Linked DNA regions of Astyanax mexicanus. The protein of the gene in region 1 binds, or shares a complex with, the protein of each later gene. Links are inferred from orthologs where the notes say so. Each region holds a gene or a part of one and is shown in the gene's direction. Other genes may lie near its edges. The genes, in order: orc3, orc5, orc2 and orc4.

What was found.
Region 2: the proteins of orc3 (region 1) and orc5 are in contact, whole or in part, in a cryo-EM structure (PDB 7JPO), measured with the Homo sapiens proteins. The link is inferred for Astyanax mexicanus from reciprocal best matches to the Homo sapiens genes ORC3 and ORC5. Residues at the interface, in NP_036513.2 of Homo sapiens: Glu99, Val109, Met144, Lys145, Leu148, His178, Ser180, Met181, Asp182, Glu223, Asp232, Ile235, Ile236, Gln239, His240, Ala253, Thr254, Ser255, Pro256, Ile257, Ile258, Ile259, Arg261, His265, Ser269, Cys272, Ile273, Glu274, Leu275, Ser280; in NP_002544.1 of Homo sapiens: Asn62, Val64, Glu65, Phe67, Thr68, Arg70, Leu71, Gln75, Tyr129, Leu270, Arg271, Ser274, Ser275, Ser276, Gln277, Leu294, His297, Thr298, His299, Val300, Glu301, Leu302, Pro303, Tyr304, Tyr305, Ser306, Asp360, Tyr367, Arg373, Pro376.
Region 3: the proteins of orc3 (region 1) and orc2 are in contact, whole or in part, in a cryo-EM structure (PDB 7JPO), measured with the Homo sapiens proteins. The link is inferred for Astyanax mexicanus from reciprocal best matches to the Homo sapiens genes ORC3 and ORC2. Residues at the interface, in NP_036513.2 of Homo sapiens: Thr3, Ser4, Ser5, Met6, Ser7, Lys8, Gly9, Cys10, Phe11, Val12, Phe13, Lys14, Pro15, Arg20, Ile22, Ile26, Tyr29, Phe30, Lys32, Tyr47, Val111, Thr112, Lys139, Asp318, Lys326, Gln329, Leu330, Leu333, Tyr337, Glu589; in NP_006181.1 of Homo sapiens: Leu239, Glu242, Tyr243, Ala246, His247, Asp268, Arg273, Leu276, Val279, Ser280, Phe283, Glu286, Leu287, Leu290, Lys296, Leu297, His299, Lys300, Met302, Leu303, Gln304, His306, Leu307, Phe309, Tyr314, Gly315, Leu316, Arg320, Glu324, Arg327.
Region 4: the proteins of orc3 (region 1) and orc4 are in contact, whole or in part, in a cryo-EM structure (PDB 7JPO), measured with the Homo sapiens proteins. The link is inferred for Astyanax mexicanus from reciprocal best matches to the Homo sapiens genes ORC3 and ORC4. Residues at the interface, in NP_036513.2 of Homo sapiens: Thr227, His260, Arg261, Leu262, Leu263, Pro264, His265, Ala266, Ser269; in NP_001177808.1 of Homo sapiens: Pro370, Lys374, Glu377, Gln381, Ser392, Gly393, Asn394, Ser395, Gln396, Arg397.

What each region holds. Positions count from the first base shown.
Region 1 is NC_064421.1:15,887,425-15,895,438, forward strand, and holds the start of orc3 (origin recognition complex subunit 3), read left to right. Parts: upstream 1-5,002; 5' UTR 5,003-5,080; coding exon 5,081-5,104; intron 5,105-7,141; coding exon 7,142-7,196; intron 7,197-7,297; coding exon 7,298-7,395; intron 7,396-7,491; coding exon 7,492-7,636; intron 7,637-8,014. Other genes in the region: znf292a (zinc finger protein 292a), read left to right, coding at 1-1,286. UniProt on the Homo sapiens protein: Component of the origin recognition complex (ORC) that binds origins of replication. DNA-binding is ATP-dependent. The specific DNA sequences that define origins of replication have not been identified yet.
Region 2 is NC_064409.1:24,354,584-24,361,473, forward strand, and holds the start of orc5 (origin recognition complex subunit 5), read left to right. Parts: upstream 1-3,890; 5' UTR 3,891-4,052; intron 4,053-5,550; 5' UTR 5,551-5,560; coding exon 5,561-5,674; intron 5,675-5,826; coding exon 5,827-5,919; intron 5,920-6,561; coding exon 6,562-6,747; intron 6,748-6,890. Other genes in the region: lhfpl3 (LHFPL tetraspan subfamily member 3 protein), read right to left, coding at 1,313-1,739. UniProt on the Homo sapiens protein: Component of the origin recognition complex (ORC) that binds origins of replication. DNA-binding is ATP-dependent. The specific DNA sequences that define origins of replication have not been identified yet.
Region 3 is NC_064423.1:30,253,301-30,260,294, reverse strand, and holds the start of orc2 (origin recognition complex subunit 2), read left to right. Parts: upstream 1-3,988; 5' UTR 3,989-4,187; intron 4,188-5,182; 5' UTR 5,183-5,189; coding exon 5,190-5,286; intron 5,287-5,607; coding exon 5,608-5,763; intron 5,764-5,937; coding exon 5,938-6,024; intron 6,025-6,200; coding exon 6,201-6,293; intron 6,294-6,874; coding exon 6,875-6,906; intron 6,907-6,994. UniProt on the Homo sapiens protein: Component of the origin recognition complex (ORC) that binds origins of replication. DNA-binding is ATP-dependent. The specific DNA sequences that define origins of replication have not been identified yet.
Region 4 is NC_064412.1:33,931,704-33,939,359, forward strand, and holds the start of orc4 (origin recognition complex subunit 4), read left to right. Parts: upstream 1-4,654; 5' UTR 4,655-4,781; intron 4,782-6,353; 5' UTR 6,354-6,357; coding exon 6,358-6,414; intron 6,415-7,382; coding exon 7,383-7,459; intron 7,460-7,600; coding exon 7,601-7,656. UniProt on the Homo sapiens protein: Component of the origin recognition complex (ORC) that binds origins of replication. DNA-binding is ATP-dependent. The specific DNA sequences that define origins of replication have not been identified yet.

The sequences.
Region 1 (8,014 bases):
ACATTGATCACATTAAGAATGACCACAAAGCAATACGTGTCTCAGCAGATGGAGACTTTGAGAGTGTGGACCTTACATTCAGGTGTGAATGGGAGGGCTGTGACAGGGTTTATACCACCAAGTCAAATCTTCTGCGACATCTCATGAAAAAACACAACGCAAATTTCGAAACCATTAAACAGAAACAGAAAAAGGACGAGGGGCAAAATGTACCGACAAAAGCGCTCGGCGGAAGTCCCAACAATGGAAAAGAGAATATTGCAAGTAACAAAGTCAAGCTGAAAAAGAAAACACCCAAGAAAAAGGATGTAAAATTACAGAACCACTGGACAAGCTTTGGAGAGCCCTCACTCAAGTCCATGGATGAAGCGTCAGCCATGTGTACTGCAAAGTTTCCCCTGCAGTATCCTTGTATGATTGTGGGCTGTGACTCAGTCTCAAGTTCAGAGCGGCTTGTATTTAAACATTACACTACCCATGGTCTCACAGAGCGATACATTGAGGATCAGAGGAGCCAGTTCATACTTTGCAAGAAGTATTCACGACTACGACTTAAAGATGTAAATAAGTCAAATGATGCTTCTTCAGCGGCCCCCACTGAGGTTGAAAAGACTAAACCTGCAGAAAGTCCTGCAGAGAATTCGTTGACTAATCCAAATTCAAAGTCACAGAATTCAGAGCCTCCTCATGCTGACGTGGTGGCTAATGAGAAAAGTTCAGCCGTATCAGTTCCAGAAGTTAAACCCAAAAGGGGACGTCCACGGAAGTCAGAACAGATGCTAAAATTCAATCCAGAACGAAAACAAAGTCTTCGAAACTTTGGTGTTGCTAGGAAACGTTTTGCAAAGCTTTCAAGATCATATAAAACTAAAGATAAGTCAAAAACTCCACCTGCCCGTCGAGAGGAGCAAGCAGAGAGTGGTGTCGCACAAAAGCTTTTCAGTCCTTCAGGACTGGAGGCATCAGTCCTTAAGCTGTTTGAGGAGTCTCCTTCCACAAAACCGTTGAAGAGAAAATCACGTAAAAGGTATTGGACTCGGTTGCCATTGAAACCCCAGGAAAAACCCCGGCAGCAACATGCCAAGGTTATCCGCAAAAACTCTGCCGGCCGTGAGGTAAAAGGAGACCAACATTTTACTTGTTTCAGAAATCCTCTTAATCTGGAGTCAGTGAACAACGTCAAGATTGTTATAGATGAACACTTCTCCAGTGGTGCTGATCTTTTGCTGAAACAAATTCAGGACATGCGGCCTATGGTCATTTTAAAGAGGTGGCTGTGCAGTTGATGACTGGGTTCGAGACTCGAGTCTCCGTCATTCTTAAAAGCTTTGCACTCAGGACAAGATAACATTACATGCTGCAGACAGGTACACCAGAGGACATTTTATCTGTGGTTTTAAAAGCATTAATTAATTTGATCTTGGGAGACCGAAAGAAAAAAGACATTGTTATACAAAATATGGACTTGAATTGAAATACCATGTGCATTTAGGTTTTAAATGTTCTGTAGAAACATTTGTATTTATGACGTTAATTCCCTTTTAAAGATTAGCGTTTGCTAAAGTTAATATTTTACACACATGCTGAAATGTTTTGATATATCCCCATGGGATCTTTTTTTGTTTTTTAAGTATATATTTATTTTTTACTTCACTGTAGTGTATAGTTCTGTATATGTCTTCCACATGATATTCAATAAAAGTAACCTGGATGCTTTCTGTAATGCTGTGTCTGTTGTTTCAGTCAAGTTTAACACCTCAGTCTTACTTCAAATAAAGTTGGATTACAGGACAGTGTGACACTAACGTTGGGTGAAATATAAAATGCAGTCTAATGTGGTTAACAGATCAAATAAAACAAGGTCTGAGCCTTGTATGTATTCTTAGAACATCAACTTCAAAGCAGTTAATCAAATATTAACTGTTCTCTTTAGCCCGTCATGACTATTTTTTATTGGACAGTGTATTATCCTAAAGATAATTGTAAACAATTTGTCGTTTTAGTACCATCTTATAACACAGCACACATTGCATAGAGGAGACATTGAAATATTAAAAAGAATGAAAATTCTAAATTAATAAAGCATACATTAAATAAAACATCAACATGAAAGTCAACATACTGGCTTGTTCATTTTAATAGTCTCTTCTTGTGAAGTAAGCACAATAGGCAATAGTGCATAAGTTGCAAGAATTATTGCGATTATGTCCATATTTTGTAGGGTCAGGGAAATCCCTAAGCCCATTTTTCAAGGATTTTAGACAGACACCACAATAGAGTCCCTTATCAATGGCCATTATAGGAGAAATGATAATTTGAATATTTTAAAAAATGTCTTAACTTTCCTTTGAATGATGAGAAAGGTATAAAAACACTTTATAATAACTCTTCCAAATCTCTCAACAGAATAATTTAATATGGCTGATAAAGGGTGAAAGTGACTATCAAACATAGTAATCTCATGTTGGAGGTTTGTACTGACCTTTTCAGTGAGTGACTGAGATCATGCTTTTAAGTGTTTTGATGTTGGATTCCAGGTAAGGCTCACATGCGATAAAATAAGGAAAGTTGATTTGAGCAAAAACATAATTATTAATGGAAAGTTTTAAACTTTAGACATTCAGAATAACAGATTTCTACAGCAGAAATTCTGAAAAGGAATCCTGTTTTTTTGGGATCATCAGCTCTGCCTGATCATCTTTGGAAGCCATAGTATGTGGATGACGTGCAGTGAAATAATACAGACACAAAATAATACTTAAAGCTTCCCAAAAGTAACTGAAACATAGTGGAGCTTGATATGTTTGACTGTGACTGGGTTGCATTTTGATTTGGGATACTCACAGCGCCACCCAGTGGAATATAATGAGCTGAATGCATTTTTAGCGTTTCCTTCTTCCAATTTTTCATACATTAATTATTAAATAAAGGAGGTGTTTTTAAGTAGAAGGCTTTCAGAGTTTTTGATTGATAGAACCATGTAATATGTAAAATATATATGGATGACAAGACTCCAGTCAATAAAGGATGTCAAAGCTTAGTACAATAAGAGAACATGAGGGGAAAAATGACAAATAAAAAGCAATCCTCATTCATAATATTATTACTATTATATTGCTTTTTTTTTTTTACATCGTTTTTGCTTTTATTTCATCTGTAGGATATCTGTAGTATATATATATTGTGAAATATCTTGAGATGCACTTGCGTAGCTTAATTGGGAATAATATATCTCTGTGCTCTAGCTCTGTGCTGCTCTCCAAAAACCCTGTCCGTGCATTTACACTATTAGGCCTAGCTTAGCAGCTACACGTTTTACTTTAGTCCTGCTGAGCTAGCTAGCTAGCATGGATGCTATGCAACCTAATATCCTTACCTGCAGGTTTGACTAGCTTCAAGTCTAAATTTTTTTAGGTTGAGGAGGCATATATATATATATATATATATATATATATATATATATATATATATATATATATATATATATACACACACAATCTACCTTATTAAAGATGCTTTAAAGTGCCACAGAGGTGGTTTAACTGTCCATTATCCACATTTTGTGCATGTTTTGGGCAGGATTGTAGCTGCTCTCCCTCCCTGCTGCTCCCAACTGTTTCTATGTCCCGCCCACTACTCAGGCTTTTGACTGACAGGCAACTGAACCAATCACCTTTCTCCAACTAAAAACTATTAACAGAAATTAGTGAGTTTAAGCGTACGAGCAAAAATAAACTATTGTACAAATAAAAATAGAATTTTCTCTAAAACCTTATATAAACAACAGGGAAATTCAACACGGCTACTTATTTTATATTAAAAATGTGTTCTCCAACCCACCCTTAGATTTATTGCAAGAAATAAAATTTTACCTTTTTTAATCCACCTATTAAATACATTGTGAGAAATAAAAAAAATGTGTGAGTTAATTTAACTGCCTTTAAATGTATTATTGACAGAAATCTAGTCTGCTTTTTTTCACATGCAACAGCATAAGGACAACTCATACGAGAGTTATGGCTAAATAAAAATGAGCAATGGTTTAAGAGGATATATAAGATGTTTATCATACAGTCGAGCAGTAAAACCAACTAGAAACATTCCTAATCCAAAATTTTAGAAAGTAGGATTGAAATGACAAAAACAATTGTAGAGCATTTTGCCAAGTAAAATTTAATAAATAAACTCAATAAAACTCAATGATCATACAAGACAATTATGCAATATTTATAGCCTGCTGCCTTTATTAATAACAAGTCAACTTTATAATATAATAAAAATCACCTCACTAATCGATTGAGGACAAGCCCTCAAATGTGCAAATGTGTTCTAGTCTTGGAAAGCTATTGCAATTGCAAATTAAATAAAAAAGTTGTATTTATCTCATTATATTTAGTCATTTTAATTAGGTCAAAATAACTGGCTTAGCTCACACTCTTGACATAGACCAGTATCCTAAAGGGATAGAATCAAATCATCTTATCAACTGAGGGTATAAATCATGAGGAGATGATTCATCAACCAGCCAATTTAACTTCTTCATGTGCTTTATAGTGGACACAGCTTTTTTTGGTTTCTAAGGCAGTTAAGAGACTCAATAAACAAATAAAATTCAACAAGTTGACCTTACAGTCAAAACCAAAAATTACATCTTTACATTTTATATCTACCATGTAATTCGCTTTATTAGAAAAATATTTAGCTAGAGCTTTCCAAAAATATTGTAAATAAAAACCTTAAAAATGTTCTAGTTTTTCTGGATGTTTGGGGCAAAATGAACAGTTCTGATCTATATTTATAAATTTAGCAAGATTATAATTACATGGGTAGGCATTATGCAGATTTTAATGTAAATAGAAAACTTACAAGGGAGTGACCAAGGTTTTCTTCAACAATCTCTCTATAACCTCTGTATAACGAGAATCACAATCTAATATACCCCGTGACCTAATTTTTATTGTGTTACAGCAGTTTCCACTTCTAAAGACCATTAAGCGTGCAGTTTGTCTCTGACGTCATTAGCGCGGGAAATCTAACCGGAAGTTGCGACTTGTTTCCAGCTCAGCCTGCTGTAAGGAAGATGAGCACTTCTTCAGTCTCTAAGGTAAATAACCGGTTTATGAGGTTCAGGAAAAGGTTAAAATAGTAGATATAGCGTGTAAAACATACTGGGTTTCTCAGACATGTATCCGGACAGGGTGTACTGGTTTCTAAAGCGGGTCTTGAGTACTTCACTTACCAGATTCCCGATCCACCTTAAACCGTGCAGCGTCAGAATGTATAACTTCTGCAGAATTTAAGGTGGAATTGAAGAGTTAGATAAAGCTCAGCCGCGTGTCTCGCAGAAGATATGCACATTGAACTCCAGTTTCCTCCACGCGTTCTTATAAACCTTCAACATTATTAGCTAGCTATTAGCTGGCTTTATGTTCAATACACTGAGTTTTGCTACTTAAAGTTAAACCTCTTGCAGAGGAGCTGTAATTTCAGGTCTTCTGATTACTAAAAGTGTACAAAAATATCAAAACAATAAACCTAGGTTTTCATTCTAGACACGTTTCTTATTCAGGTGAAGTGTTGTACTTGCATGGGTGCTCCTGTATCTTCACAGATGGAAGAAGTTTATACCGTGTTGGGCTGAATAGGGAGAAACACAGTGCTGGGGTGAATATTTACAGTAGTATGAAAAAGTTTGGGCACCCCTGATAATTTTCATGTTTTTTATAAATCATTGGTTGTTTGGATAAGCAATTTTAGTTAAATATATCATATAGCAGAAGAACAGATAAGTGAAATGAAGCTTATTGAATTTACAGAGTGTGTGATAATTCTTTAAACTAAATTAAGCAGGTGCATAAATTTGGGCAATATTTAGTAAATCCCCCTTTTGCATAAATAACAGCCTCTGAACGCTTCCTATAGCTTCCAATGAGAGTCTGGCTTCTGGTTGAAAGTATTTTGGACCATTCTTCTTTACAAAACATCTCCAGTTCAGTCAGGTTTGATGGTTTGTGGGTTGACTATGGCTGTTTTTACCATCCTTCACCTCTTTTTATCTGAGATTTTTCTTGGACTGCCACTTCAGGTTTTAACTAGAACTGTGCATGTGATCTTTCATTTTCTCACCATGTTTCTCACAGTGGAAACTGACAGCTGAAATCTGAGATAGCTTTTTGTATCCTTCCTCTAAACCATGATGTTGAACAATCTTTGTTTTCAGGTTATTTGAGAGTAGTTTTGAGTCTCCCATGTTGCCGCTCTTCAGAAAAGATGCAAAAAGGAGAAAAAATTGCAATTGGCCACCTTAATTGGCACCTGCCTAATTTTGTTTTAAGATTTGTCGCACACTTTCTGTAAACCCTATAAACTTTATTTCACTTGTATGCCAATGATGCCCTGATTTATTTCTTACCACCATATGCAGGGCCACTGTGAGCAACAGTGAAGCTGCTGGACCATACTGGCTCACAGGTGGTTAGGATGCTCTTGATAGTGCAGCAGTAGTAGTTTTAAGGAAGTTCGGAGATAAAACGTTTTCCCTATAAAGTAAATATGCTGCTGCGCCATCTTAAAAAAGATGAATAGTGTATGGCTAGGCATGTCCCAACAATTATCAACTAATTAGACATATGACTTGTACTTGTCTATTTTTTTTTTTATCGTAGTTTTGCCCATTGTATTTAGTTGTGTGCTTGTTTACACAAGTACAACTTCATCAATACTTCAGTCGTACAATAGCCAGTGCACCAATAACGACATCCCTATACAAACAGGATAGAAAATCAGACAAAACATAGAAAATACAATCCCCAGTGAGCGACAGTGGCAGGGAATATCTCCCTCAGAGCTGGAGGAAGAAATCTTGGGAGGATCAAAGGCTCATAATACTTATAATTAAATGATAAAAAGTCATTGTACATTCACGTTCAAGTTCTGATATGTTCAGGTGAATTTCCACCACAGCAATGAAATCGATTCAAACATTGCTAGCTAAAGTTGAAATAGTTAATAGTGGAGGGTGAGCAATTAGTCCAAGCAGTAAAATGATGGTGATATCATTTTCACAGTTACTGCTGGAACAATACATCATCCAGGCCGTCACTTATCATTTGTTTTCTTACTTATTTTAATGCATATTTAGGGATGCTTTGTCTTCAAGCCTGGTTCTAAGAAGAGAAAGCGCACTGTTGCTATTGGTGAGTAAAGGATAATATGATTAGCTCATACTACTGTAACTATTTATTCACCTTTGATCTGAAGTATTTGCCTCATATCCTTCATCATGTTCATTGTACAGATGAGTATTTCACAGATGGAAGTGATGACTGTGGGAATGGCAGAGAACGTTTCAACATCTGTCAAACTCTTTGGGAGAAGATTAAAATGGACACAGAGGTGTGTGGTGTTTTTCTCATGTGGAATAGTAATATATAAGATTTAGGTAATGCTATAGAGTATAAGATTTTGATATGTGTTTTTCCTTTTAAACAGGTATTGCAAGAGGAGCTAAATACAAAAATACTGGACAGCCTTTTAGATTTCATCAAAAGGTGTACCTCAAGCTTCCAGTCCAGAACGGATGACTGGACATCTCATATGAGAGCCAGTGAGATTCCTACAGCTGCTTTGGTGCTTGGTATGTAAAGATATATTTTTTAATTTTAAGTAGAGTTTACTTTTATGCCAGTAAAGTCTAAGTCTATATTTGGTATAGTCTTGATATTTCAGTGTCAAAAATGCGTAGTTTTTACCTTGGTCATTTTCTGTGAATAATTGTAAATACAAAAGTTTAGAACCCTATGGGTTGGTTTCCTGGATAGGGATTGTGCCTGGTCTTGGACCACACAGCATTTTGTTTGGAAATATACCCTTGAAAGGAATTAAGTCTAAAACTAGGCTTAATGCCTTTCTGGGGAAATTGACCATGTATTTTTTGTTTTTAAAACATTTATCTTGTGTGCATCGGTAGAACCACCTAATTATGTGATTGTTTAAGAGTATTAATACTTCTGTT
Region 2 (6,890 bases), on another chromosome or scaffold:
CACAGAGTGTGAGGTTCAGATTAATATAAGGCTAATAAAAATGTCCAGCAGTGAATTATATTGTAAAAAAAATCTGAATGACCATAAAAATGTATAAATGGTGTGTCTCTAATGAAAATATGGTTATAATCCGCTCTGGAAATAATGAGCTAAGCTACATCAGATTTACTAAAGAATTCAGAAGCAGAAACCACACAAAATCTGACTTTTACATATGGGTGCGCATAGCTGAAATTATGGATGGTTATGAATGGGCATGGGTGAGTGGGTATAAAAAAGATGGTCATAGATTGAAATGGATGGGAATGGGAGTCTATAGCAATGGGTGTATATGGATAATAATGGTTGGGGCTGCAGGTGAATATGAATAGATAGGTGTGGTTGGGGAAGAAGGGGTATACTGTAGTGTTGATGGATGTAGATGAATATTCATGGAAATGGATGGATGGTATGTATGTACTGTTAAATATGAATTTATGGGTATGGGTAAATGTTCCAGTATGTTACTGATTGGTATGGATGGGTATTGATGGGTTGATGATAATGTATGAATATATTTATGGGTATGGGTAATTTTGGATATGAATGGGTATGCAAACATTTAGAAATGAGTGGGTATGGTATAGATGGGTGTGGATTGGTAGGAATATGGATGAGTATGAGATGGGTATGGGTATACTTTAGCTCTAACGGATGAACTAAGGCTGCAAAATGCTTAAGTAAAAAATGCAATTATGACTGTTATTCTTCATAAAGTGAATCCACATAAACCTACTGGGTCCCATACAAACTAAATAAGTAAACTTTAGACACAAGACCTTAATGTGGGGATAGCCTAACTATCGCTCTAATCTTTTTTATATCTATATCATTTTATTTCTAATTGCATCCCAGTTTTCTCCCCAATTGGGAGGACCAACATCCCCAACTTCTCATTAGAACTACTCCTATAAGTAATGCTACAAACACTAGGAGGGTGAAGACTAGTGCATGCCTCATCCAATATGTGTGAAGTCAGTCTCCGCCTCTTTTCCAACTGCCACCAATCAATGTGCAGCATCACAGCGCACGTGAAGGAAAGTGCCAGATACCCAGCTCTGATACATTAGCTGACAGATGCCTGTACCAACCAGCATCACAATGGGAGTGATAAGGGGAGAGAGCGCCACCTGTTGTACCCACCCAGAGAGAGCATGGCCAAGGATTTGAACCAGCAATCCCCATGGTGGATTATGACAGACTACCTTTGTCCCATATTGCTTGAATCTTAACAACCGCACAACCCCATCACCCACTAAACGTTGCTGCTCACCTGCCGCCAGCTGCATCCACCCGCAGATCTTGTAGACGGTGGCAGTGCTGCAGAAGAAGAAGAGGGCGAAGCAGGCGATGCAGGTGAGCACCAGGACCATAGAGGTGCAGATGAAGAAGGAAGCAGCCTTGAAGGCACCCGAAGGGATGGAGCTGAAGTTGGTGAAGCTGCCGTAGCACTTGAGGTCTCGTGACAGTCCGTTTCCGATGCAGTAGTGGAAGAGGCCGAAGTAGCCGGCCTGGGGGGTGTCCACCCCGTCGCCAATCCAGTAGGGCTGGATGAAGCAGACCACGTTGACGATGGCGAAGAGAATGGTGAAGATGGCCCAGAGAACTCCAATGGCTCGGGAGTTCCTCACGTAGTTGGTCTGGTAGATTTTAGCGGCTTCTGAAGCGGGGAGCATGGCTGCTGGTGTTCCAGGGACCATCGCCTGGATGCAGACCTCGTGGAGCTGGAGCTGCACAGCACCAGAAGCTGGGGTAGACTTGGTGGAATCGTGTCGTGGAAGCTTGTGGTATAATCAGGTGTCACTAGTATGATTCGGTGCATTAACTGATTTTGATTCGGGTTGTTTTCTTTCTTCTTTTTGCTTATCGGTTGCAAATAAATCAAGGGGTTGGTGTTTGTTTTCTCATTCACACCATCATGCCTCAAACATCTCATATCATGTCCAGAAATCCTGTAATGAAGCATAGTCTATAAATATAAAATGCATTCTTTTACTATATGTATAAACAGATATAAGCAGATAAATGCATACATACAGGCACAATTATACAAATTTCCACGTCCATACCTGCATCCTTGTTGCTCTACAGATTCTTCAACAGCAAAGCACCACCGCTCCCACAGCAGCCTGCTCTCATCTCAGCCAAAAATGACAGATGAATCCCTGAAAACAGCATTAAAATGCAGAGTGGTCAGCCATGAGTGCCCCATTCATTATTCACGTGGTGAAAAATAGCATCTTCCAGGCTGCAGCAATGAAGAAGATGATGAGCTTCTGCAGCCTCTGGAGCCCATCTCTGGTCAGAAACACACACCGTCTCTCTCTCTCCCTCTGTCTATCTCTCTAACTCGCTCTACCTCTGTCTGTATATATACACCTCTATGTTTCTCTGTCTCTCTCTCTCTCTCTCTCTCTAAAATGTGTCCTGGACTGAAGCACTGAAGCACGCGCGCCGAGATGACAGGGAGAGCATACAGCACACACACACATACACACACGCACACACTCAGCAGCAGCAGCAGTTGCAGCTCAACAGCGCTCACAGCAGGTCAGAACTGCACGCTCGGGCGCGTTCCAATACGCCCCCCGGTGCCCTAAGTAGTGCGCTTAAAATTATGGTCGCGTTCCATTGCGAAACACCGCGCACTGATTTAGCGAACACAAAGCACGGTGGGGCAATTTTTAAATCAGTTATTGTATTAGTGGTCCGACACGTAAAAATAGTGGAAAATAAGCGAAAATATAATTATTTTTAAATAATATTGTGGCATGTACCAGAAAGAAGGGAGGTTCGTTTATTTATAGGGTGTACTGTTCGCTTACAGCACATAAAGTGCTCAGAGAGTGACACTAACTTCAGTGTAACAGTGTAAAAACCCGGCGGAGTGACTGAAACTGAAGTAAACTAGCTTCATGGGAGGTAGCCTACTGTAACATTTAAACATCCATTACAGGTATATACCACAAGTCTAGCTCATAGAGTGAGCCAGCGGTGCACCATGGGATAAAAAGGAATGTTCCCCACTGCCCCTTCTAACTGCGCCCTTCACACTTACACACACTGCTTCCGTTACACCTTGAAACAACATATATAAAATATGTCTTTCAGAGCAAAGTTAATGTCTGTATTCCAATGTGTGCATTTATATTAAATAACAGACCAAATCATTTTTGATTATACACGTTTCATAATTGATTAAATGTTATTTGTATTTCCAAACCAGTAAGCGTTCCTTTACAATCCTTGTTTTGTCTAAATTGGGTCTTTAAAAGTCAAATAAGTTGTTGACATTCTTATGAGCAAAAAATACATGTCGTTCTGGGACAAAGAAGTCCCTCAAAAAAAGTTTATTTCTTCTGATTTCCCACAATTTTACCGTAATTAACCTTTTTAAACGAGTGCAGGTTCACTTGTGGGTTTTTTAAAGTAAATAAAACAAGAAAATAGAGCGCAGGATGGCTGCACAGCTAACATCCTTTATTGTATCCCAGGTGGTTGCTAAGGTGTGGTTAAGTGGTTCTTATGATGTTGCTAGGTGGATGCTGTAATGTTCCTAGGGATTTGTTAAAAAATTGCAAGGTGGTTGCTGTGGTATTAGAGGTGGCCAATTTGGTGTTGCTAAGTGGTTGAATAGGTGTTGCTAAGGTGCTGTTTTACACCCAAAATCTTCTTAATACTCGGGTAAAGTAGTTTAAATTGAACCATTTAATCATATACATATTTTAATTTTGAAATTCAATTATAGTTTTTGCTAATTTAAAAAATCGAAAACTACAGTAGAATTAAAATGACCTTACCTAGGCCAACTCAAACACGTGTTCACAATAAATACATTGTTATTTAGAAATATACAGAAACAAGCGATTGAAACTCGCTACTACAAATCTCCGCGTCTAAAAACTACAACTCCCAGCTTGCGGATGTGACGTCACCTTCGCGGGAAAGTGAAGCAGCGTGTGGATCCTGTGTGAATGAGTGTGTGTTGGGGTTTCTGGCTGAGTGTTTATAAAGTAAGTAATCTGTTTTTTTTCTTTGATCTGTAGAAAGGCTATAAGTGTAGCAGAACTTTATTAAACTATATAACTTAAATAACCGCGCTGTTCATACCAGCACAACATACAACAACACGAGCTTCTATCCCATAATATTACTAAATATACACACACATATATTTATGTTACTGATTTTAGATGGAGATAGGTGGTGTTGTAGTGTATAAACAGAACGTATATAAGTTATATCAATTACTTTATTTAACAGAAAATATACGTGTTTTAAATGATTCTCTTCTTAAACTGTCATCCTATTGCTGAAACCTCCAGCCCCAGACCGGTGTTCTGTCGAGTTGTGCTACCTTGACAAACCGTGCTACCCTAGTGTATATTTAACTGTAAAAATACAAAAGAAACACCGTATTAGAACATATTACCAGTAAAGTCCCAGTAGATGTAGCTAGCTAATATATGGATAGCATAAATCACTGTGTTATGGTAACGTTATCCCAATAAGAGGTAAATACAAACTGCTTTTGTATTTTTTAAAATTAATAATTCAAGTATTTATTCTTATTAATTTCCACTTACACGTTTGTGCTGAACAGTGAGTTCAGGTTGTTTAATGCACAAAAAAAAAAAAAAAAAAAAAAAAATATATATATATATATATATATATATATATATATATATATATATATATAAAAAGTCGTATTTTCTTTGGTTTCCTTCACTTTTGTTGTTTGTACATAATACAAAAGTCATCCAAACTATAAGGAAAAGCTAACGGAATTATATAGTGAACAAATAAAGTGTTAAGAAACAGAATAGATTATTTAAAGTAGCTGTGCCTTTTCAAGAGTTAATAACAATTTCTTGCCTCTAAATGTGTTTGAGAGCATCAGTTGTAAAGTTGTGAAGAGGTAGAAATGGTATACAGTAAATAGCTGTATTTGAGTAATGTTCTAATCCATATTATAGCAAGAACTACTCAACTAAGTAAAAAATGACTTTAGGAAATAAAAGTAAGTTGATTTGAACAATTTTAAGAACTTTAAAAGTATCCTCAAGTGCAGTCACAAAGACCATTAAAGCATTATGATGAAACTGACTCTTATCAGGGTTGTCTCAGAGAAGCAAGACCAAGAGTTAGCTCTGTTGCACACAGGATAAGGTTATCAGAGTTACCATCCCCAGATACCTAAATGCGTCACAGAGTATTGTGGGTTGTTTAACATTTTCCATTTATTGTAAGTTTCCTTATGTGTTCCTTTGTAGTCTATATGACCCTAGATGTTGTTTTTTATAAATGTTCGTTAAATATGCTGTATATACACTGTAGGAAACCCTTTAATGCGTTGTTTTCTGTTGAAGACACATGAAATTTTAGCCAGTATCATACGTCAATTTTAGCCAGTATCATCAGCTCTGGCTTATCAGAAAAGCAGTCTAGAACTAGGGCTGTGTGTAAGGATAAGTTTTGCATGTTGATTGATGTTGACTCTGTCTCTCTCAGATTGAGGAGGATGCTGGCTGGACTGCAGTGTCCCGGCTATCCTGAAGCCAAACTAAGCTCTGTGAGCGAACGGCTTCCCTGTAGAGAGGGACAGGCAGGAACGCTGCTGGCTCTAATGGGGGAGGTTTGTCTTATCTGTTTTATAGTTTCCCATCTTTTATGATATCATCCTTTCTCTTTCATAGATCAGACATTCATTCAGTGTTTCTCAAACCTGTTTATGTTTCAGTGTCATGAAAACATCTTTGAATTTGTCCATTTTTTCCCTATGTACAGCCGGAGCAGTACTGCTTCCCCTCCATCTTTATCTATGGCCACCGAGCCACGGGGAAGAGCCATGTGATCCTCACCCTGCTGAAAGAACTGGAGGTACTGTGCAGTGGGGGTGGTTGATATAGCTGTTTAAAAAATGTTTAAGAAAAAGTTATTTTGTGGTATTTATGTGATGATTATATTCTAGGGAAAACAACAAAACACGGAAATAAAAAAATATAAATTTCAAGAATATATTAATAAACATTTTTTGTATAAATATAACGGTTTCATACCTTCAGTAAAAACAAAAAATATATAGAAATGTTTCTCTATTTTGTAAACAGTAATAAACTAACAATAGTGTAACAAAATAAAAATGTAGCAAAAATAATATAACCACAAAACTAGACAAGATATTTAGTGCATATATAAACTGCAAACATACAGTTAAGAGTAAATTCAGTAAATAGCAAAACAAATACAAAACGGATCTGCGTTTTAAAAAATAGAGGATTAAATAAAAGGATTTTTTTTATTGTGTCAATCTTTTTTGCAATATCATTGCCTGTGATACGATACAGCATGCCCCTACTATGTAAACATGAATTAATATTATATACATACATTCTAAGACTTTGTATTTGGAAAGTGCAAAAAAATCCCCCAAAATGTTTCCCCTGCCAAAAATATTTTTTCTTTAACTGATTTTTTCTTTAAATGTTAAATTACTGTATGTGTGTAATTGTGTGTGTATAGGTTCCTCATGCAGCGGTGAGCTGTGTGGAGTGTGTATCTGCAGGGCTGCTGTTTGAGCAGGTTCTGTTAGCGATGTTTGGTTCCGAGTCGGCCACTCTGCTCCCTCGCTCTCCCTCTCTCTCAGACTTCGTTCGGATCTACAGGCAGTTCTGCGCTCAGAAACCGGCCCAGCAGACCCGGTACATTGTGAGTAAATCAGACCTACACACACTATATAATACACACTGTACTCCAGAAAAAACACTTTTAACGTGAATTGACCTCTTGTAGGTCAGTAATGATTACATGCAGGTTTATCAGTACTGTAGAAAGTACAATTTTGGGACGTG
Region 3 (6,994 bases), on another chromosome or scaffold:
TGGTTTATATGGTTAAAATGGTTTACATTTGTTGCATTGAGTAGTTTTTTTTAAACATGATTCTTTGGAACAGTGCTTCTCAAATCTTGTCATCAGAAACTCCTAGATGGTCCACATTTTTAAATGTCTCTGCATTTTGCAGTTTGCATAGAAGGATAAATTAATCTGGGGGCATTTGTTTGAGAACCCCAGCTTTAGAGAGTCATTTTTGTTAGTGTGCAACGTAAATGTGTTAAGAACCTTATTTAGGTTTAAAGAATATACACTGAAATGCCACATCATTTTATCTAGTGTTGTGTGCCATGACTTTTGTCATGTCCCATAAAGCTAAAAACATGGCAGTGACCTGTGGGATAAGTGTGTGGGACTTTCCTCATTGAATGTGTATGAAATTTCTGAGTCTTCTATTTAAGTGAAGGACAATTCTAACCAGACATCACCAGTTACGATCATTGCCTCTCACTGCCCTGTCCACTGTGGGTGGTAATTTCCTCTATGATTCACCAGTGCTCACAGGACACCGAGGCTAGAGGAATGATAAATGCCCATGCAGCTTTGGGAAATGGGATTTTCCATCCATCTGGCACTACCATCATGCCCCCCTCAAACTTAATAAATGTCTCCTTGCCATGAGCACACTGACCAGTGTGTAATCTCACTTAGAGAACCTGAGGTGATTTTTCTATGCCATTGCTAAGAAATATAGTCATTAAGGCATTTTGACCTTAATTAATTCTGCTGTATTAGTATCCTCATGTTTTATCTCCATGAGTCTTTGATTTGACTGGCGATGAGTTTGTAGCTGTTTCAAATGCAGCTCAGTGCAGCACAGTGTTGAAATGAGCTCATGGGGTGCTCTGCGCTCTGCTGGTGGCGGCATGTATCTGGAAACGCTCCAGACAGAGTCTGAAAGAGCCATCTGCTCTCAGCCGGTGCGTAACTGGACCCTCTCGAAAAACAGATGATTCCTTACTGTTCATAAGGAGTGCCTGGAGCAAACAGTATGGGCTGCGGCTGGACCTATGAGCAGAGGGTCATAGGTTCAATTCTCGCTGGAGAGTTACAGCCGTTGGTGGCATAAAAACAAAGCCCACATTCAGAGAGCCCACAATGGTGTTTCTTATTCAATGATCCTTTCCCAGAACGTTATGGCTTGAAAGGAAGGTGTTGCATTCCCAATAGATATATAGACAGATGCCAAATCCAGCATTTATCAGCCAAAAAATCCATTTTAAGAGATCTTTTTTTGGTTTAGGATCAAACCAAAAGCAACAGCAAAGCAGGCCAGGAGCTGAACAAACAGAAAATAAAGAAATTAAGCACAACAAAGGAAAACTAAACTGAAGGCTTAAGTAGAACTGATGAGAAAATGTATTTTGGTTCCAGCTCCTGCAATTTTAGACTATCTGAAAGCCTTAAGATTTGGATAATTTGAAAATATTATGTAAGAAATATTAATTCCTTAACACAGTCAATTTATACAATGTTATTTTAACCTAAATCCACAATAACAAGGACACACAGTGTCATTAATACAAAGCACCAAAAGTACTAACAGTGCCTGCTTTTGGACAAGCTTGCTAAACATGAATGAAATTTGATCAATCTTATTTACATGACTGTTTTTTGTTAATCTCTTAGTAAAAACTGTTCTATTTAAAGCAGGATGTCAGAATCTCTGAATTCCATCTATTCTTTGACATCAACTCTCATCATCAGTGGTAAAGGCAGTAGTATTATAAAATTGATTAGCACTTCTATCTATTTGGGTCTCAGTAAATCATTCTAACACAAAGTTCTATCTGTCTTCTATCTGTGGTTCTATCTACCGCAAAATCTGTTGGATTGGTGTGAATATTTGAGCTGCATGGAATGGATTGGACACCATTAGGAACCTCTACAATTCCAAGCCAAGATATATTACCCATATCTTCCCACTGAATTGTATTTGCAATTTGTAATTGCAATCTGACTTGCAGTCTTTTTGGTGCAACCCTTTTTCCAATTGTTACTTTAAAAAAAATTATTTATGAAGATTTTGTGGCGTACATGAGAAGGAATCCAAACAGGCAGCATTACTTGGCCTTAAGGAAGCTCTTTATTAACAACTTACTGCTTGCAAACAGCAATCAGAGTAGGTTAGAAAAACCTTTCCTAAAATTACCAGAGCTTGGTGTAAACATTACAATAGGGTGTAACAGTCAACAACTAAACACTCTTTTCACATTCTGAACAGTAATTACAGTTATACCCACAAGTCTAACTCATAGTTTGAGCCAGCAGTGCACAATGGGATAGGAAGCACTGTGCCCCGCTGCCCCTACTGCCTGTGCTCTCCAGGCTGCATTTACTCAGTTTCTAGCCACGGTCTGCACAATATCTAAAGCTTTGAAGAGAGTATTCTATACCAGCTCCTTTAGTCACCATATAAATGCACAGTCTCAGACAGCAACACTACTTCCTTTCAAGCAGTCAAGGCTGTGATAAAGTTTCCTTTTCTCGCCGCTTTGCTTTTTAAAGTGCTTTCATTCTGGAACGGCTGAATTTGATCTTTCGGTTCTGGTCAGTGACATTTGCAGACAAAGCTCCATGTGTTGGTCTGATTGAAAATGTTCAGGCCATTATCGCATGACATTTTACGGAGGACTGAGGAGGAGTGCGGCACAGGCCTGAGTGGCAAATCTCGGCTCTGCTCTGTATTGATAAGCCATGGAGCAGCCAGACAGTTAGATTCCTATAATTTCCACAGTGTAGGCCAAACTTACAGACCCCTATCCTGTTACAGATTCAAAAATTGAGCACAGTGGCTGCTTAGAAAATTGTCCTTGCAGTGTGGTAGAGATGGATGGGCTGCTGAACATTGATACTTCCAATCCTATCCCATCTTTCTGAGATTCATCCTGCATTTAAAGTGTTTTCTGTATACAGAAAACTGAATTTCTGTACTTGTGAAAAAACTGTTTACTGATATGACAACTAGAGTCGTTGGTCTGTTAGCATGGACATTTTACCCAGACATATTTGAAATTTGCTTTTGCAAGTGAAATATTGTTTCAGTAGAACTGTATCAATTATCAAATACTTTTATATATTAGTAAAGCAAATAATTTCACAATAAAATTTAATTCTGGTATGATTTCATAGATCTTAAAAAAATAAAGTGATAGCATCTCAAAACAATGAGAGAATCTACATAATTTCTTAGTATCTCAAAAAAGAAGAAAGTATCCCAAAATAAGGACATACTATCTTAAAATAGTGACTTAGTATCTCAAAATAACCACATAGTATTTCATAAAAATAAACCCAATAATATCTCTAAATAATGAGATAGTATCTCAAAACAATGACAAATATTTTAAGATGATACAAAGTATAAATGTGCACTGCATAGTATAATAGTGCACTACATATTATAAAAGTGCACTGCATAGAGTAATAGTGCACTGCCTAGTGTACTAGTGCATTACATAGTGTAAAAGTGAACCATACAGTGCATTAGTGCACTACATAGTATACTAGTGAACTACATAGTTTCATAGATAGTGAAGTATCCCAAAAATATGTACCCCAAAAATAATGAGATATTATTATATGCTACAAGATTATTTTGAGATACTGCGTCATTATTATGAGATACTATGTCATTATTTTAAGATATATAAAAGCATACCAGAATTAAGTTTTATTGTGAAATGATTTGCCATTTTAATATATTATAGTACTTGATAATTGATAAAGTTCTACTAATATATATATATATATATATATGCTTTCGGTAGGCTAAAAGCACAATTTCGGATACATAGTATAAAAGTCCCCTCATAGTCTAATAGTGCACTACATAGTATAATAGTGCACTACATAGTGTAAAAGTGCACTAAGTAGTGTAGTAGTGCACAGGATAGAGGACAGCTGGTGAATGGGACTGAATGAGACACAGCCCTGGGCTGCAGGCTGTGGCGTCACGGCACTTCCGCCCACGTGGTGTGAATATTTTTGTGGTGGCGCGGAATCGGAGCGGGTTAAGGAGTCGCTGCGGGGCTGCGGGGCTGTAAAATGTGGTGCAGTTTAATGTAAAGCGCTTTTTCTGAGGGAATATTAATACAGACTGTTCTCAGCGGAGAAACAGCGCGCGGAGGGGTCTTAAACCCGCTGCTTCTGGAGGAAGTTCTGCTGTTTTCGGGGTGAGTTTGGCCGCAGTGCAGCCGGTTCTGTAGCAGCAGTTCTGTTTCTGCTCCACTAAACTCCTGCAGAAGAGAGTGGAGATTTAGGTTTAGAGCTGCACAGACCTGATGGACTTGAGTCAAATTTAATGTACTCTTGGTAAAGTGTTATTTGAATGTGAATAAAACTTATAAAACTTATATTGCTACTTGTACAAAACTTATAAAAGTTATTTATTGTGAATGTTCTTAAGTACTGGACAATTAAAACTTTTAGCTGAACCTGTTCCTGAAAATAATATTGCTCAAAGTACTTTTTACTTGATGAGTCAGTTTTTTTGTACTTTTACTGAAACAGAACTAAAACTCACACTCTTTTCATTTATTCAGGTTATTTATTTAAAGGGAACTCCAGTGTAAAATGGTTTGTGTTGTAGTGAAACATGATGACAAGTTCACACTTTTGTCAAAGTGCCGACCTCCAATCTCCCCCAGCATTCCAAAATACAGGGCTTTTATCCAGTGCTCCCAACAGTCTCACAATGGTAGCGATAAGGGCATAGAATTGCTAATGGAAAGAAAAAACTATTTTTACTCCATTTAAAAGCTCAAAGTAGCCCACACATATCATTGGTAGAATTCCAAGTGTCCTGACATTTAAAACAAGGCTCTGAGAATTTTGAAAGTGCACAGGTAGTTTATATAAAAAGACAGTGTTTATGCACACAGTACCTTTTAGCTAGTTCTTGAAATTAAGTCATAAGTCGACTGAAGAGCACGAACGAATAGGTAGAATAGGTAAACAGATTGCAAAATAAATTCTGTGTAAATGAATGAATGAATATTAAAGAGAGATTTTCAGCAACAACTGGAATTCATGCATTTCCATGCATCTACCTACTTGTTTTTGCTTGTCAGTTGACTTTGAGCTTGTTATTGGTTTAAAAAATAATAATTTCTTGTGTATCTCATCCACCAAAAAACATTTTGACTTTTTTTCTCTCTCTCTCTCTCAGGTCCAAAATGAGTCCACAGAAACGCACTGCAGGTCCTGGAGTTTTGGAAGTCCAATTCGTAGGAGATGAAGATGTGCTAGACCACATTGTCGAGAAACATGAAGGTGCTGAGATTGACACACATCTCTGTTTTCTGGGTGTTAAATCCCATTCTATTTCTTAATGGACATTGTCGTGTGTACTGGGTATACATCATAAAAGGCATTACTGCCCACAGTGGACAGCACAGTGCATTGGGTGGTAATGATCGTGACCAGTTGTCCAATTGTTCTTGAGAATAAATAAGCAACTCTATTAGAAAAATGTAAATGGATTGATAATGATGCACTACATTTCTGGAGATTCAAGTATCTGGTCCTGTTGTGTATATGGCTTGAAACGTTTTGGTTCAGGTTTTTACTCTCTCTATTCTAATTGTATTTTAGGGTCTAGAGCACTCAGAAGTTCTGCACAAACTCTAGTGAGCCTGAAGAGTCTCAGAAAGAAAACGACAGACTCTGCAGAAGGGGAGGAAGAGGAAGAAGAGGAGGGAGTTTTTAACAAGCAAAACTATGTGGAGTCGCTTGGTTATGGAGCAGAAGGTAGAATTTTTTGTCACACAAACAAAAATTGCCAAGAGAACACTGAACAATTCTCAATATTATTAAAGAACTTTAAACTGATTGAAAAAGTCATTTTTTGGCTGTAATATCGGTGATGTTTCCATACTGTGTTTAAACATTGTTGCTGTTTTGTTTGTGTATCCTGTTACACAGCTGGAGATGAGAATGGGTCGGCCACAGCAGGAGCCTCAGTGTTCACCTTCCAGACCATCAAACGCTCCAATAAAATGGCTCAGATGGGTGAGTTAATAAAAGATTTTGATTTTGTGTCAGATTTTTTTTATTTATTTTTTTTTTACATATTTTAAAGTAAATTAAGCTAGAGTTAAATTATTAGTCTGATGATTTTAAGATGCTTGTAAATGTTGTACACTATACCTCGCTATACATTTCTCTTTTTATCTCTCTCAATTTAGCTTCAGAGTGGGCACGCACTCCTGGCAAAAGTGTCACATTTCGTACCCCTGGGAGTCCAGAGGAGGCAGCCAGCCCAACCCGGGCAAGCCAGAGTTAGTAATCATATCATTATTTATCTATCTGTTTACAGTACCAGTCAGACGTTTGGACAGAGCTCTTCTCATTTAGTGTTTTTATATGCTTTTTGTTTTTACATTGTAAAGGTAATATTAAAGACAATATGAAAGCTAAGGTCACATTCAGAATTATACTGAAAACAAAAAGCAGAATATGTTTAATAATGAAAATTCTTTAAAGTAGCACATTTAGCTTTTGGACAGATCTGCACACTCTTGATATTTTAATCTTTTTTTAATCTTGGTATTTTAAGCTTTTTTTTCTTCACACTGTGAAGCTCAGCTCATTCCAAATCACCTTAAATCACCATCTCAGTTGAACAGGTCAGGGGATTGTGGAGGACAAACACTTTTTCTTTTTTTAAATTTTTTTTTTATTACGTAATCCCATATGTGTTTTCATGTCTTTAATATTAATCAACAATGTACAAAATAAATAAATAATGAAATACATTGAATAAGAAAGTGTGGTACATGTCTATACATTCATTCAAACAATCCATCCATCATAGGCTTATAATGTATAATAATCCTACTGTTTATTCTTCCCACTACAGAAGTTGCCAGTCAAAACAAAACTCCTCAAAAGGTAAATTGGAACCTTCATATATGAGAATGACTGTGTTTGTGAGTTTCTTCTGAAATCAAGAGTAATAAACAGTTTAAACTTTTAAGCT
Region 4 (7,656 bases), on another chromosome or scaffold:
GTCTGTGTGGCCACTGGTCTTGAATAAATGAATGGACTGGTCCAGATATTAAATCAAGTGATTCACAAATGTGCATAGATGAAGTGTTGTCTCCTAATCTAACCAAGACCAAGTATTTTTTACATAAAAGCCACAAACTAACAGGCTACTTTCTACCACATACTGACAGCAGCAACAGGGCCTACAAACCAAACTGCACTTCATCTATACACCTTGGTGACAGCTTTAATAGACTGTCAATTTAAAACTAGATAGTTTTTAGTATTCGTATTATTTTACAGAATATCTCCTTCTAAAATGGGAGTATACATACATGTACTCTGACAGGATTAAGGAAGCCATGGCTACGTACTGCATCACAGACAAAATCTGGTCCAGATATAGATAAAGTGATTGTTTGAGTGTTACCTTTTAATCTAACCTAGACAGCTAATATTGTTCTTTTTTAAAGACAGGATCACAGAAAAACAGTCCACTTTGATTAGCTGGCTAGGTGAAGTGATCTGGCAGGCTGTTGTTGACTGGCTTCAATAAATACTAGCTAGTGAACAAGCTGTATCGTTCCTAGCTAGCCAGCTTTCCCCCCTCATAAACCATACGCTGATACCTACAAAATATAACCTAGATAAGAGATAGCTATGTTATGTAGTTAGTGTAACCGTGTAATAGCTAGATGCCCTAAAACAGTCGCAGATACTCTGAGCTAAGAGTGGCTTGGGTATTCGCAGCTGACAGCAGGGCTTAAAATTGTAAAATTAATAATAATTAGGTTAAAAAAACAAACCCAATTCAGGCAATCAGCTAACCATAGTTAGCTGGCAGACTAGTATAAAGCCTATGAGCTTAGTTAGCTTCTTAGCTAGCTTTCAACTACTACACTGGCCCAGCTGCTATCTGGTTAGGTTTGCTAACGCTAAAGCTTTCAGGTTAGCTAGGCTGTGCTAGCTGAGCTAACATGACCATAGGGGAATAAATACAAGCACCAGAAAAAAAGTACACCAGGCTTCGCTTTCGGGGCCGTTTAACACGACGGAGGGTGAAACAGGGGTCTAGCTGGATGTGACAATAATGTGGGGAAAACAAGAAGAAAGTCAGCTGGATGTAGGTTGGAGAAAGAAGTCGACACCGACAGCAGCAGCAGCTACAACAAATAAGGCGAAGTGCTGCTGCTACGGCTACGGCTGCTGTGGATAGCTAACGCTAACTAGCTAGCTAGCCCAGCTTACTGGCTGGCTAACGTTCATTATGCTAGCCTAGGTAGCTATCTTAGCTAACTGCTAGCTGGGTGGCCTGACCCATGAGAGAGAGAGGAACGAAGAGAGAGAAGGAGAGAGAGAGAGAGACAGAAGGGGGAAATAATACATACACAGTTAAGCTACATATTGGGCAACATTAAATATAACAAAAATAACTTTAAACATATACGTACCTTGTTATTCCGCTTAACGCCGCGAAAACAGCCAAGTTAGTGTAAATACGTGTCTACGAGGCTGGTTCAAAGTATCCAGAGAAACGTCTCAAAAGCAGAGAGGCCAAGCGGAGGAGGAGGAGGCAGGGGGAGCGAGCTAACAGCTAACTAGCTAGCTAATGCTAGCGAAAGGGGGGTAGGTAGCTAACAGCTAGCCAGTGTAGTGAGAGCAGAAGAAACGGAGAGACGAGAGGAGAGATAGGGTAGAGAGAGAGATAGAGGAGAAGAGGAGGAGGAGGAGAGGCTCTCAGATCCCTCTCCCCGGATTTTCTATCTCCTAACAGCCGTCCAGCGCATCGCTGCCGTCGGTTTGAAGTCCCCGAGAGGTCGACGGCGATGGAAAAGTCCGTTTTTAAGGCTCGTCTCAAATCGACTCTGTCCCTTTAAAAAGAGAAATAAAAAAGCTGCCCCATCCGCTGCCTCTGCTCTGCTGCCTCTCTCCGGGCTGCCTGCTCGGGGTTAGAAGATGGAGCTCGGCCCCGCTGCGCCCCCATCAGGACGCTCAGACAGCTGCTACAGGACCACAATGCACCGGGCCCCTCTCTTCTCACACACAAACACACGCGCATACACACACGCACACAAACACGCATACGCACACACGCATACGCACACACGTATACACACCAGCAGAGCAGGAGGGCTGGAGGAGGTGGATGGGTGGATGGCTGGTGTGTGGAGCGTGGAGCAACAGGGACACGTTTTTTTTTCTGATTTGTGTATATTGTATACTATTCACAAGGGCTAGACAATATGGCCAAAATCTGTATCACATTATATGTGATATACTGTCTCAAGAATGATTGCAATAAATGATAATAGTGTTATTTTAGGAGCCTTTTTAATTTTTTTAAATGTTTTAATTACATTTTTATAATAATGTTAAATAATACCACCACCACCACCACCACCACCACCACCACCAACAACAACAACAACAACAACAACAACAACAACAACAACAACAACAACAACAACAACAACAACAACAACAATAATATTAATATTAATATTTATTATTATTTTTAATAATATTTATATTATTGTTATTATTACTATTAATAGCATAATAATGAAGTTACACCATTTAAAAGATCAGTGAACTTTTAATCAATAAGAATTTGAGAAAATCCTAAATAATGGGTGATATATATATATATATATATATATATATATATATATATATATATATAGTCACAGTAATTATTGCAATAAACAATAATAATTTTATTTTGACACTTTCATAATATAATAATAATAATAATAATAATCATCATAATAATAATAATAATAATAATAATAATTTAACACTTTCAAAATGTAACAATTTAGTAGCATAATAATTAAGTTACACCCTTTTTAAGACCAAATAACTTTTATTCATTAAGAATTTTGAGACATCATTAAAAAAAACTAAATAATGGATGATATATTGCCCCAGAATTATTACAATAAATGATAATGTTATTTTAAGATTTTAAGAGCCTTATTTTGACATATTAATTTGCTCTACTTCCTAAGAAAAAGCATAATGTACAATATCACAGGTCAGCAAAAATTACTGATGTTATTTTCATATATTATACAATAATCTGATAATGTAGTTATTGTGTTAGGCCGAAATCTGATATCAAAAGGGACTTTATGAATCCCCATGGCCTTAATGAAATAGCATAGACAGACAGAACTGAGAGCTGGGTCCATAAGCAAAATGTGGGCTTGTGTGCATTATGCCTTTCCGAATAGGCCTTTTTTTATTCATACAGAGATATTGTGGAGAAAAGCTGGTAATTTCCTTATGTTTTGTATTTATAATAATAATTCACAGAAGTACATTTAAAAAGTCTGCATTATATCTACCCATAATCTCAACAAATTGTTTATTTTGTACATTTATTTTATAAATGTTGTTTTTCAGATTTTTGTGAAAATATCTATCTAGCTAAATGTTTTTCCAATAAAGCTAATTACAGCGTGGATATAAAGATGTTATTTTTGTTTTTAACTATGATGTCTCATTTAACTATGATGTCTGGCTTTAACTATGATGTCTGCACAAATTAAAATTTGGTAATGTCCCTTGACATCCATTTTTTATAGTATTTCTTGCTGAATTAGATTTATTTATGGCGTCTCTAAATTGTCTTAGCAACAAAAAAGCTGTATCCACTATAAATTATTAAAGGAGTTTAATTTGTTATTTTATAATATTTTAAATATTTTGTTTAGTTTGATGTATGACTGTTTGTTATAATTTATCTTGCATGTCCTTGTTATATTTTGTTGTTTTTGGAAATTAAACCCTTAACGGGCCTTGCCGCCTTGGCCCATTTACAAGCTACAAGTGTAGGTGATACCAAATCCTTTTTTCTGCAATTAAATTAGTTATTTACATTCTGAAAACAGTGAGGGCTACACAGACTCCTACAGGAGACTTGGGCAAGTTGTCTGTTCAATCTCTACTCCACTTAATAATCTCAAATAAGTAACAGGAATCAACCCCAAATGCTTTGACATAAAACTAGTCAACCACACCAAACAAAAGGTTGAAGGACATGAAATGTTTAATTTGCTCAGGAAAACGCCAATTATATATATACTTGCAGATTTACACATTTTAAAAATATTTTTATTAAAATTACAACTAGGGTTTTCAGTAACGTTTTCATGAAACCTTTTTATGTACTCTTTAAATAGAAATCCTCAAAATAGAGGCGTGCAATATTAATCAGAGAATTAACAAAAATATTAAGAACATGTGGTTTCATCCATGATTTTCTGTTATTTACTATGGTTTTATTGACCCTAAGCAGATCATAGATCAGCACTCTAGCACTATACTGAAAAGTTTAAAAATGTGACCTGATTTTTTAATCCACCAGTCCTAAATATCAACATGTTGAGCTAGGGACATGTACACAGGTTAATTAATTATGCATTCCCAAAAATAGGAAAACATACATCCTTAAACAGGAATTTACAATATTTATTTGGAGATATAGTTAATAGTTAATAAGATTTATATTAATATAATATTATTCAGGAAAAAACAACAAACATTGAGACGGTGATATTTATAGTTAAACATGAAATATTAACATTAGTTATTATTAATAATATATATTGTTATTAAATACAGGTAATATTAGAAATATATTAATATCTAGTGTAACCCGGAAACCCATCTGTATTCTGCAGCTCCGGTTCCGCCTGCTGTTTGCAGAACTGGCGCGAAATCGGTTCTGTTGTGATCCGCGGAGATTTATTTTTCTCTATTTTAAGTCTTTTTACGGTTAAAGGCTGTCAGAAACAGGTAAGTAGAGCTTTAGGGTCGCTGTTATTCTCTTTTAGTAGTTCGGCGGTGAGTGCGAGGCTGCTGTCGAAGCTAAACATTTGCTTCACTGTTCGCTTTGTCGAACTCTCTGGTCCACCTTAAATGATCCAGCAGTTTCCTATGGGCGCACGTGTTGGCTCCAGAGTGTAACCAACGCAGCAGTTAAGGTGGAACAGAGAGTTCGACATTTCGAGAGATCGAAGAGCAAGCAGCTGTATTCTGCTTTTAAGTGGTGGGTAACCCAGGTCCAGAAAGATAAATCCATCCCAGGGTTATGTACTAACTGGCTGGGCGGCTCTGCTGCAGCTGAACTATACACAGAGCCTTCCAGGTAGTCCGTTTAAAACCCTGGGCCAGTTGTTCAAAAAATGTAATCCGGATCAAAATTATCCAGATTTGGTAATCACATTTTTTGCTATCCAGGATCAGGTGATCTGTCTTACTTTTAAGTCAGTTTTTCAAAGCAATATTGGATTGGATCAACCTGATCCAGAAACACAGTTTTCAGGATTACCTAATCCGGATTACCAGCTATGTAAAAAACAGATAGAAGAACCAACAGGGGTTGATGACTCCTTTTCTTGCAGTAACAAGATACTGCTTATTGCAAAACAATACGAGCAATTGAGCATTCTGCAGAGACGCTTTGCATGCCTTAACTATTTGCGAGTCGAACCACAGGGAGCATGCAACATAACACTTGCATGTATTGTCCTGCCCAATGTTGCTACCAGACGCAATGTCCCTCTCTGTGATGTTCATGATGCACCTGAGCCTGTTGAAGAACCAGAACAAACTCTGGTGTTCTTTTCAATTGTTCGAAATTATTTTTGACAGCTTCATATCTGATAAATGTTTCTTTGACATTAATATACAGTGATGAATGACAGTGACGTAGATGAAAAAATGAATATATTATTTTTGTTTGTTATTGAAATCTTTTGGGGGGTTTATTTAATGGGGTCAAGATTGTTTTTATTTTTACGTTACTATAGTAAAAGGCTTAATTGGTAGCCAATGTCTACTTTATTACTGTAACGGTTAAACAGGTCAAGTGCAAAATAGAAGTAAATGTATATACACTAAATTGTACAAATGTATTTTTTTTTTACTTTAAAACTTTGATTTTAAAGTTTTACCACATTTACTTCCTGAAATCCCCCTTGAAATCCTACCCCTTGTTGGGATCAGGGTAATCCTGTTTTTTTGGATCAAAGTTATCCAAATCCTACTGAAAAGTTTTGAACAACAGAAACTGAAGGTTTGATCCATTTACAAACTAGGATTGGATTACGTGATCTGATCCGATTTCAGAATGCTTCTTTCCCTTTTGAACAACCCGTTTTCCAGATTTGATCCAATCCGATAACCAAAATCCGATCAGATTTCCTCTGAACAACTGGCCCCCTGGGATGGATTTTTACTTTCTGGACTTGGGTTACCAACCTCTAATATCGACAGCAGTTTTACAGATAGTCGTATAAAATCTTATTTTACCAGGTTTATCGTCCCCTAACGTGCAGCTTTAACTTGTCTTTCTTTCTTTTCCAGAATCATGAGCAAGCGTAAGTCGAAAGACGCCAGTTTGCCTGTTGGTGAATGCGTATCTCAGGTTAGTCCAGCCAAGATGACTAGTTAAAAAATGTATTGTTTTTTTTTTTGCTTTAATATCAGTGTTTTGTCGAGTTGTGCTACCTTGTCAAACGGTGCTACTAGTAGTATTTATTTTTTGAAAAGGTAAAAATACAGCAGAAGCCTATGTAGGATATGTGGATAGGCTAAATCACTGTATCAGAAAAAGTTAAGGTCATACGTGACTAGACACCATATATCTTTAAAAGAGTTTTATAGTTAATAAAAAAATAACTTTAGGTTGCTGTTTTGTAACTGCTATTTACAGATAGAAGAAAATTAATCATAATAAAACATATTTAGGGATGTCCCCAGGGAACGAGTAGATCACATAATTTTCTAAGGATCAGAATCAGGTGGAAAAGATCCAGATCACTGATGTATCATATTTCTATGAGCAGATGTACCTTTAAGGCAGCGTGAGTGGCAGTGACCTGAAATCTCTTAATTTAAATATTTTATTTACATTGAAATACTCATTATTTAACAAATAAGGAAATCTGGAAGGCCAAATGTTTACATATTCATGCACTGTTTAATATTTGAACTGTTTGGAACTATCCTGAGCTTGTTAATGGTATAAAAATAGAGATTTACTTGCATGGACAAAGCTATGCCCCATATTGCTAGCATTGTAAGCCTGTTGGGAGCATCAGTTAACAGCGCTAACTGATGGGGATGAATGAAGGTGGGCTATTCAACAAACGTTTGTACGCATTACCATGTTTCACTACAACCCAGGTCCATTTCAAAGCGATTGTCTCCTGTAATGCATAGTGCAGTGATTTTTATAAATTGATGTGCATTATCCAATTATACAGGATTACAGAACTTATAGATTTCTACCTGATATTCAATTAGATGCTGCATAAGTGTTTTAAATGTATCTTAACATGTCCTATGCTGTTTGTTTCAAGTGACACATACATGGCTTTTTACTTATTACAGGTCCAAAGAATAATGAGGGAGCGATTTTGTCACCAGAAGCTTCCTGACAAACCTTATGGATTGGACTCGCAGTACAAGTGGGTTGTTTATGTGTTAAATTTAATAAATAAAATTGTGTTTGTAAGCTGTCATTAACAGAAGATGTGAGTGTGATCTTTTCTTTGTTTGCGTGTTGTATAAGTAAGAAGTTTTTGTGTGTGTCTTTTGGGGGTATTTAGGCACCTACTGGAGCTGTTGAGAAGAACAGCAGTTCATGGTGAAAGTAACTCCGTTC